Arabidopsis thaliana: one gene and its partner. The protein of the gene in region 2 interacts with the protein of the main gene of each other region in a biochemical or structural test. Each region holds a gene or a part of one and is shown on either strand. Other genes may lie near its edges.

Evidence for each region.
Region 1: the proteins of MEF19 (region 2) and MORF1 form a complex in vitro, tested with the Arabidopsis thaliana proteins (one study listed by BioGRID).

The regions. Positions count from the first base shown.
Region 1 is NC_003075.7:10,843,816-10,848,295, reverse strand, and holds MORF1 (multiple organellar RNA editing factor), read left to right. Parts: upstream 1-2,148; 5' UTR 2,149-2,210; coding exon 2,211-2,578; intron 2,579-2,796; coding exon 2,797-2,894; intron 2,895-2,983; coding exon 2,984-3,049; intron 3,050-3,135; coding exon 3,136-3,863; 3' UTR 3,864-3,894; downstream 3,895-4,480. Other genes in the region: AT4G20040 (Pectin lyase-like superfamily protein), read left to right, coding at 1-948; AT4G20030 (RNA-binding (RRM/RBD/RNP motifs) family protein), read right to left, coding at 1,050-1,196, 1,276-1,382, 1,473-1,541, 1,799-1,934; PTAC9 (plastid transcriptionally active 9), read right to left, coding at 4,307-4,435. UniProt on the Arabidopsis thaliana protein: Involved in organellar RNA editing. Required for the processing of numerous RNA editing sites in mitochondria. Binds to the mitochondrial MEF19 and MEF21 factors, two pentatricopeptide repeat-containing proteins involved in RNA editing.
Region 2 is NC_003074.8:1,493,184-1,497,231, forward strand, and holds MEF19 (mitochondrial editing factor 19), read right to left. Parts: upstream 2,199-4,048; coding exon 501-2,198; downstream 1-500. Other genes in the region: AT3G05230 (Signal peptidase subunit), read left to right, coding at 1-62, 144-269; AT3G05250 (RING/U-box superfamily protein), read left to right, coding at 2,452-2,569, 2,856-2,950, 3,030-3,109, 3,201-3,256, 3,463-3,575, 3,699-3,760, 3,892-4,048.

The DNA of each region.
Region 1 (4,480 bases), on a different chromosome or scaffold from region 2:
CCAATGAAAATGTCGCCAGAGGAGTCTTTCTCCGATCAGAAAGACCAGAGCTCTGGGATCTTCTATGAGGATGTGACCTTCCAAGATGTTCTCTTCGACTCAAGATTCCGAGGAGGTGGTATTTTGGTGATTGACTCAGCTCGTATCCGTATAACCAATTGTTATTTCCTCCATTTCACAACGCAAGGGATTAAAGTCCAAGGAGGTCATGAGACATACATTTCAAACTCCTTCTTGGGGCAACATTCAACGGTAGGAGGAGACAGAGAAGAAAGAGGATTTACTGGGACAGGAATCGATATCTCGAGTAACGACAATGCCATTACGGATGTAGTGATTTTCTCGGCTGGTATCGGTATCTCTTTGAATGGTGGTGCAAATATGGTTACGGGTGTGCATTGCTACAATAAAGCTACATGGTTTGGTGGCATTGGCATTCTAGTGAAATCACATTTAACGAGGATAGATAATTGTTACCTTGATTACACAGGTATAGTCATAGAAGACCCTGTCCATGTTCATGTCACCAATGCTTTGTTCTTAGGAGATGCAAACATCGTCTTGAGATCGGTACACGGGAAGATTTCCGGTGTAAACATCGTCAACAACATGTTTAGCGGTACCGCCAAAAACAACTTCCCGATTGTCAAGCTAGAAGGAGAGTTTCATGATATTAATCAAGTTGTGATTGATCAAAACAATGCAGAAGGGATGATGCTGAAATCAACAACCGGAAAGGCCATGGTTTCCGCAAATGGAACACGATGGATCGCTGATTTTTCCCCTGTTTTGGTATTCCCTAACCGGATAAACCATTACCAGCATTCGTTTTTCGCTCAATCCGGACAGATCCCTGCAAATGCAGTGACCAATGTCTCCAACAATATGGTGGTTGTAGAAACCGATAGAGCTGTAACTGGAACCGTGTCAATAATTGCTTATCAGTAAAACAACATTCTTCACATTGATCATATTCCTAATAAGAAAGCATGATTTGACATCTGATTTATACAAGTTCAGTTACAGTTTGGTGAGCTTGATACTAACAACTAATACCAGCAATCAGCAACCTCATCATTAGCGGCTTCTTCTGGCTCATCCGACTTCTCAGGTGGACCAGAAGTCCTAGGCAGTCCTTGGAAATCACGTTTACCTGGTTTCGCAATGTCTATATAAATCATTCTGCCATTGTACATCTGCAACAGAGGAATGGGAAACATTTAGGTTGATTTCAAGACATAAAAATGTAAACTTGTGATTGAAAGAAGCTTTTACCCGACGGTCCATGGTCTCTATGGCAAGAAAAGCATCATCTTGAGACGTGAATTGAATAAAAGCATAACCTTTTGATCTCTTCATTGCCTCATCTTTGATAAGCTTAACTGTTTTGAAGTATAAGAGTGAACATATCAATGCCATAAAACTGAACCTTAAAGCAACAAAACAGAGTAAAATTGAAACCGCAAACATACCTTCAGCTATCTCTCCAAAAGCTGAAAACTCTCTCTTTAGAAAATCTTCACTTGTAGAAAACGGTAAATCTACAAATTCAAAGTGAAGAAACATCAGAACCGTAGAGTAATTACCAAGTTGAAGTTACAACCAACTTCAACTTCACTAATGATTGCTACAAGAGCTTAGAGCTATCACATATGACTACCGTCACAATCCTGACTCAAATCAACTAATTTCAATCAAACCAGAATCATAAATTACTTTTGGAACAATAACAGAACCATGTCCTAATCTCAGCTAGAAGCGAATTCAAATATAAACCAAAAGATAATCTGAATCTTACTTCTGACCATGATTTTGCTCGCTAGAGGGTAATTAAAGAGCGAAGCTTTAATCTTTGGAAACCTAAGGTTCCTGTAATTAGGTAGAGAAGATGAAGAAGCCACAAAAGAAGGGAAAGATAACGTCGCCGACCACATAATTCACAGTCGCCGGAAATAGAGAGGGAGAAGAAGAAGAAACAAACAGAGAGTTATAAAACGACAGCGGTATAGTAAAAAGCTAAGGCCTAAGTTTTTTGGCCCAGTGATAAATTTGAAACTTTAGGCGGAAACTAAAAACATTTGAAACAATAAGGACTTAAAAAGTAATTTACTATTTATTTAGATATTGTAAAACCCACACAAAAACCCTAATTTCATTTCTCCAAAGCTTTCCAGAATACTCTCCACTCCTTCATAATTTCTCTGGCAACGATGGCTATGATATCTCACCGTCTCCGACGAGCTTTACTCACTGCGACTTCCTATGTTAACCGATCAATTAGCTCTTCGATCACACCAGCGTCTGATTTCCCTTCTGTGTCGGCGGCGGTGTTAAAGAGATCCGTTATAGGGCGTTCGACGGAAGTAGCTACTCGAGCACCGGCGAGACTGTTTTCAACGAGGCAGTACAAGCTTTACAAAGAAGGTGATGAGATCACGGAAGACACTGTGTTGTTCGAAGGATGTGATTATAATCACTGGCTTATCACTATGGATTTCTCCAAAGAGGAAACTCCTAAGTCTCCAGAAGAAATGGTCGCTGCTTATGAAGAAACTTGCGCCCAAGGACTTGGCATCAGGTTAGTAGATGAATTTTTGTCACTGCTTAGATTCGTTGCTTTTGGCTAAATTGTCCAAAAATCATTCAGTAAGTTACTTAAATGTGAGAACTTTACCATTGCTAGGGTTCCATTCACTGTTATATAGCTCTGCTTTGATTTTTGTGTATCTTCTTCTGGTATTGATATTGGTTAAGACGATTATATTGATTCATTTTTGGTGTTTATGGTTGAGTCAGCGTGGAAGAGGCTAAGCAAAGGATGTATGCTTGTAGCACAACTACTTACCAAGGATTTCAAGCAATCATGACTGAACAAGAATCAGAAAAGTTCAAGGGTATATAGTTCGAATCATTTATGTTTGTTTTCTTTTGAATTCAACTTTTTTCACCAGATATTGACTCTGTTATTGGTATATGTAAACAGATCTACCCGGAGTGGTTTTCATCTTGCCAGATTCCTACATTGATCCCCAGAACAAAGAGTATGGAGGTGAGCTGGTTTTTTTTACAAACTGGTCTTATTTTGGATATTTGTTGTTGGGACTCTATCAACAAAATTATGTTTCTTGTTTTCAGGAGATAAATACGAGAATGGAGTGATAACACACAGGCCACCACCGATTCAGAGTGGCAGAGCAAGACCTCGTCCTAGATTTGACCGTTCAGGAGGAGGAAGTGGTGGTCCCCAAAACTTCCAAAGAAACACACAGTATGGTCAGCAACCACCAATGCAAGGTGGTGGAGGGAGCTATGGTCCTCAACAGGGCTATGCCACTCCAGGACAAGGTCAGGGAACTCAAGCGCCTCCACCATTTCAAGGAGGTTATAACCAAGGCCCGAGATCTCCACCACCTCCATATCAGGCAGGTTACAATCAAGGCCAGGGATCTCCAGTGCCTCCATATCAGGCAGGTTACAATCAAGTCCAGGGATCTCCAGTGCCTCCATACCAAGGAACACAAAGCAGTTACGGTCAAGGTGGATCTGGGAACTATAGTCAAGGGCCACAAGGTGGTTACAACCAAGGAGGACCTAGGAATTACAATCCACAGGGAGCTGGAAACTTTGGTCCTGCATCTGGAGCTGGAAACTTAGGTCCTGCACCTGGAGCTGGAAATCCTGGCTATGGTCAGGGGTATTCTGGACCAGGACAAGAGCAGAATCAGACATTCCCACAGGCAGATCAGAGGAATCGAGACTGGAACAACAATAATCCAGCAGGCCAGCCCGGGTCTGACCAAGTAAGATCTCGATCAATAATGAATCTTGCATCTTTCTTTTTTGATATCCTCATCAGGCATTAAAGTACCCCATTTTCCCCATATTTGTTACTGAGATGGTCCTGTGTTTCAGTTTCCACAGGGAAGAAGGTACTAGACAGAGAGCATGCTGCAGTGAATTGAGCTGAATAAGGAGAGAAGTGTCAAAGGCCTTTTATTAAGTTTTACAGTAAATAGTATTTAGTCATCTTTCTACTTTGTAAGACAATAGTTAGTCCTTTTTTCTCTTAAGTTGAGCTTGTTAACGTTGTTGGTTGCGCTTGTGAAATTGAAACACTCTTTCTAGAAGTTCTTTTAAGACCTAATATGCTTGCTTTACCTGAGACATTTGGAATCGTCCACACTTGTAGCTACTGTATTCAGTCTACTAACCAAAAATCAAACGGAACTTTGAAGACCACTTTGAATAGAAATGATGAATTTTGTAAACACTTGGAGCTCTTTACATGGAGATAATGTTTCTAAAGCTAAAAGACAATACTTTCTTGTTTCTTCTTGACTGGTGGCAGTTTCGGTAATACCCAAGTAGGAGACTCGTTTAGCCACAGTGCTTCACCTGTCTCCTTGTGCTTGAAATCAGGGGCTTTTGCATTTCTCTTCAAAACAAAAACGATATTGGGACAATAGGTCAGTTTCTTGGA
Region 2 (4,048 bases):
CTGCCAAGGAACATGCCAAATTCCGGATTCAAGTCTCAAACAAGTACCGTTTCATCGATCAGGTACAGTAAACAAGCTGGACAAGTCTTCTGCGTTTTTACTTCGTCAGAAACGGAAACTGATCATCATTTGGGATTTTTCAGGGACAGAATCTTCGGGGCAAAGACTTCAACTTGACATTACACTGGCATGTCATGCCCAAGACCGGGAAGATGTTTGCTGACAAGATAGTCTTGCCTGGTTACAGTTTACCAGATGCATACAGATGATGAAGATTGAATAAAACATCAAACCTAGTCCAAGACTTTTTGTATTTCAGTTTTCTGAAAAGTTTTAGACTTTCTTTTATTCCAAAGAAAACTAATTCAAAAGTACTATTGTTCTCTTAGAATCAAACAAAACTATTCTTTTTAGTGATCTTAATTAGTTGTTAATGAGGTGAAAATCACGACCTCTTAATTTAAAATAAGGTTTATAACGAGGTCAAGTAGGACCCTGAATTAGAACATTGTTTCAACAGAACTATGACCTAAAACTTTATCTACCCTTTTGCTCTTCATGGATTCTCTAATTAGCTTAACATCAGCCCATCGGCCAGCTTTGGCGTATATATTAGATAGAAGAACATAGATTCCGCTACCAAGTTCTTCTGGCTCAGCAACCATGGATCTTATCCGATCAGTGAGCTCGAGATTTTCATGTATATCACAACCATTTAACAATGCACCCCATATATTAACATTGGGTTTTACCGGCATAGTCTTTACCAATCTCTCTGCCTCTTCAAAACGACCAGCACGGCTCAAGATATCAACCATACATCCATAGTGTTCAACTGTTGGTTCTAAGCCGTGAAGATCTCTCATTTCTGCAAAGTATCTCTGTCCTTCCTCAACTAAACCTATGTGGCTACACGCATATAAGACCCCGAGATATGTGATTCCATCAGGTGTAGCATTACCTTTCTCTTGCATCCTCTGGAATATACTCAATGCTTCATTCCCGTGGCCGTGACTGGCTAACCCAATGATCACAACGGTCCAAGCTATTGTATCTTTCTTCTCCAGATCTTCAAACGCTTTTTTTGCGCTCTCAGCATCACCGGTTTTAGCATACATATTTACAAGTGCACAAACTATGGCAGCATCCTTCACAAAGCCGGTTTTCGATACATAAGCGTGAATCGATTGTCCCAATTGTGAACATCCTTGGATCATGGAAGCTCTGATAACACTCAAAAAGGTTACTTTATCAGGAGCTATACCCAAATCAAGCATATCCAAAAACATACACAGTGCTTCCTCTGCATCACCGTTCTGACTATACCCTGTAATGATGGAGTTCCAAGAAACCAAGGTTCTCTCAGGCATTCCATCGAACAGATACCTCGCAGTTCTCAGATCTCCACATTTAGCATACATATCAATGAGACTTGTAGCCAAAATCACATTGAATCCAACTTTGGACTGAAAATATGGATCAAAGCCTAATCCTTGAAGAAACCCATGAAACCATTTCCCAGTCACAATGTCTTTACATCTACCACAAGCAACCAAAAGATCCACCATTATTGTCTCATTTGCCTTCACACCATTACTCTGCATCTCCCTAAACGCCTCAATAGCGTCACTAAACCGATTGTTATTCACAAAACCAGAAATCAAACTTCCCCAAGCAACAACGTTCCACTGAGGAATATCCTCAAAAACTCTCAAACCATAATTCACTTCTCCACAACACATATACATATGAAGCAAGCAAGTAGAAACATACATATTCACTTCAAACCCAGTTTTCACAACAAACCCATGAACACAACTCCCGAATTGAATATCCCTTAACCCAGAACAAGCCTTAAGAACATAAGGAAAAGTGAAATAATCCGGAGAATAACCTTTTCGAAGCATTTCTTGGTAAAAGATCAATGCTTTATCTGGATTTGGACTGTTTGAGTAGCCTCTGATCATAGAGTTCCATATATAAACACTTGGACAATCGATACTTTCGAAAACTGATCTCGCGTAGCTGAGATTCATAGTCTCAGGACAAGTAGTGCAGAAATCTATGAGTCGGCTTAGAGGAATGACGTTTCTGATAACTGAGGATTTGATCATTAAACCATGGAGTTGATTCAGTTCCACCAATGATCTGCAATTCTCTAGCTGAGAGAGAATTGGTTTGTAGTGCTTCTTCATCATATTCTTTGATTATCATGAAATTCAAAGGCAATGTTTTTTTTTAATTCTGGAACCATAACAAACAAAAACTCATCAAAGTGACGGGTAAATTTTGGTAATTTAAAATAGTTTGGGTTTATTTTGAATGTTGAAAGAGTTTAAGGATTATTTTGAAAGTTTCAACAAAAGAAAAATATAACCTGTGTTTAGTCACAACGACGCCGTAACGCTGAATCAGCGCCAAGCGGAGAGAGACCTGAGTCAGTGAGTTGGTATGGCGGCGAAGGAGATCGCCGGCGGGAGCGGTTCTATTGACGATGGATCCGATTTTGATCCATGTCCTATTTGCCTTGGACAATTCCTCCGTGAATCCTACCTTGATACCTGTTTCCGTACGCTTCTTCTCTTTTTCAGTTTTCTGTTAAAACTTGTGGTTAGATGCTTCTTGATTTCATCTAGAATTTGAAGTTTTGAGTGTGTATTCAAAGATTCAATCTTTTTTTTCTGTGAACAATTTAATCAGATTGATTAGTTAATTCCAAAAAGAGATTAGATTGATTAGCTCTTGTGTATCTTAGATAGACCATAGTAGGTTTATGGTTAAGGTAATGACTGAGACCTTCGTCCATGAACTGATTAGAACATATATGTTTGTTTTGATTTTATGTTTTGTTGCAGACAAGTTTTGTTTCAATTGTATAAAACAATGGATCAAAGTTGTTTCAAGCAAGGCCTCTAAGCAACGTTCCTCAGTGACATGTCCTCTCTGTAAGGTCTGCTTCTTGGAAACGCTCTTTTCTGCTCACAACACCTTGAAGAACTTGTTTACAGGAATGACCATAACTTATGCAGACAGAGAATTTATCCATCATCCACAACTACGATGGATGTTCTTTTGAGCGGCATTATATCGACCCGAATATTCCAGATGGGTAGGTTAGCTTGTGGTTTCCTTGATTTGAATATATATGTGTTCTGAGAATTTCGTGATATCTTACTCTACTTTCATCTTCTTGTTTTCAGTTTTGTATTAACAAAAGAACAGAGATACAGGTTGCAGTGTTACTACACCGAATCAGGTTTTTCCCTTCTCTGCACTTACTTTGAGATCAAAACACACTTGCGCATAATATTCAATACCATTACAATAGTTGGGAATCCGTTACTCGATTTAGTTTGGAATAATAAACTGATAGAAAGTAGATTCAAATGTGTTTATCAATCAAGAATGAAAGTTTTACAAGAATTCCCTTCTCTTTCTCGGTCTCTTTGTGGTCTTAACCAGGTTTCCTCGCCGATGTATTCGATGTTGCACGGTTTTGGAAGCTGCAAAAGTTTCTCCAGCCGAACCGGTGCCTTGAAGCCTGGTTGAGGAGGGAGCTTCAAGCTCTGATGCAGGTTTGCTTCTGTACAAAATCCCTTTCATGGATATTTCTGCCTTTTTGCTGTTATCTTCTTGTTCAGTTGTTCGCAAAGATGATTTTGTTCTTTGTTTGCTTCAATTTTTTCCCTTGTCTATAGGAGGAAGATGTTGATATTGTTCTGCATCATTTGGTCGGTGTGATGGAATCCTTCTGCAAAAGGTAATTGTTTTAAGGAGAATGTAAAAACTTAGAACTCGTGGGTATATATTTTGATTGGCTAGAGTTTTAACTGGTCAAAGTAGAAGTTTGATGTTTTGCTCATGAATAGTCTCTATTTCTCTCATATTCAGAATCAAACAGAGACGCAAACAAGAAACAAGAAGCGCAGAGACAACAAATCAAGAACAATTCAAAGCAGTTGTCTCAGAAGCAGCACGTCCATTTGTAATGGCGAGAACAGACCGATTTGTGGATGAACTTGAACTCTTTCTGGCCGCGGGACTAAAC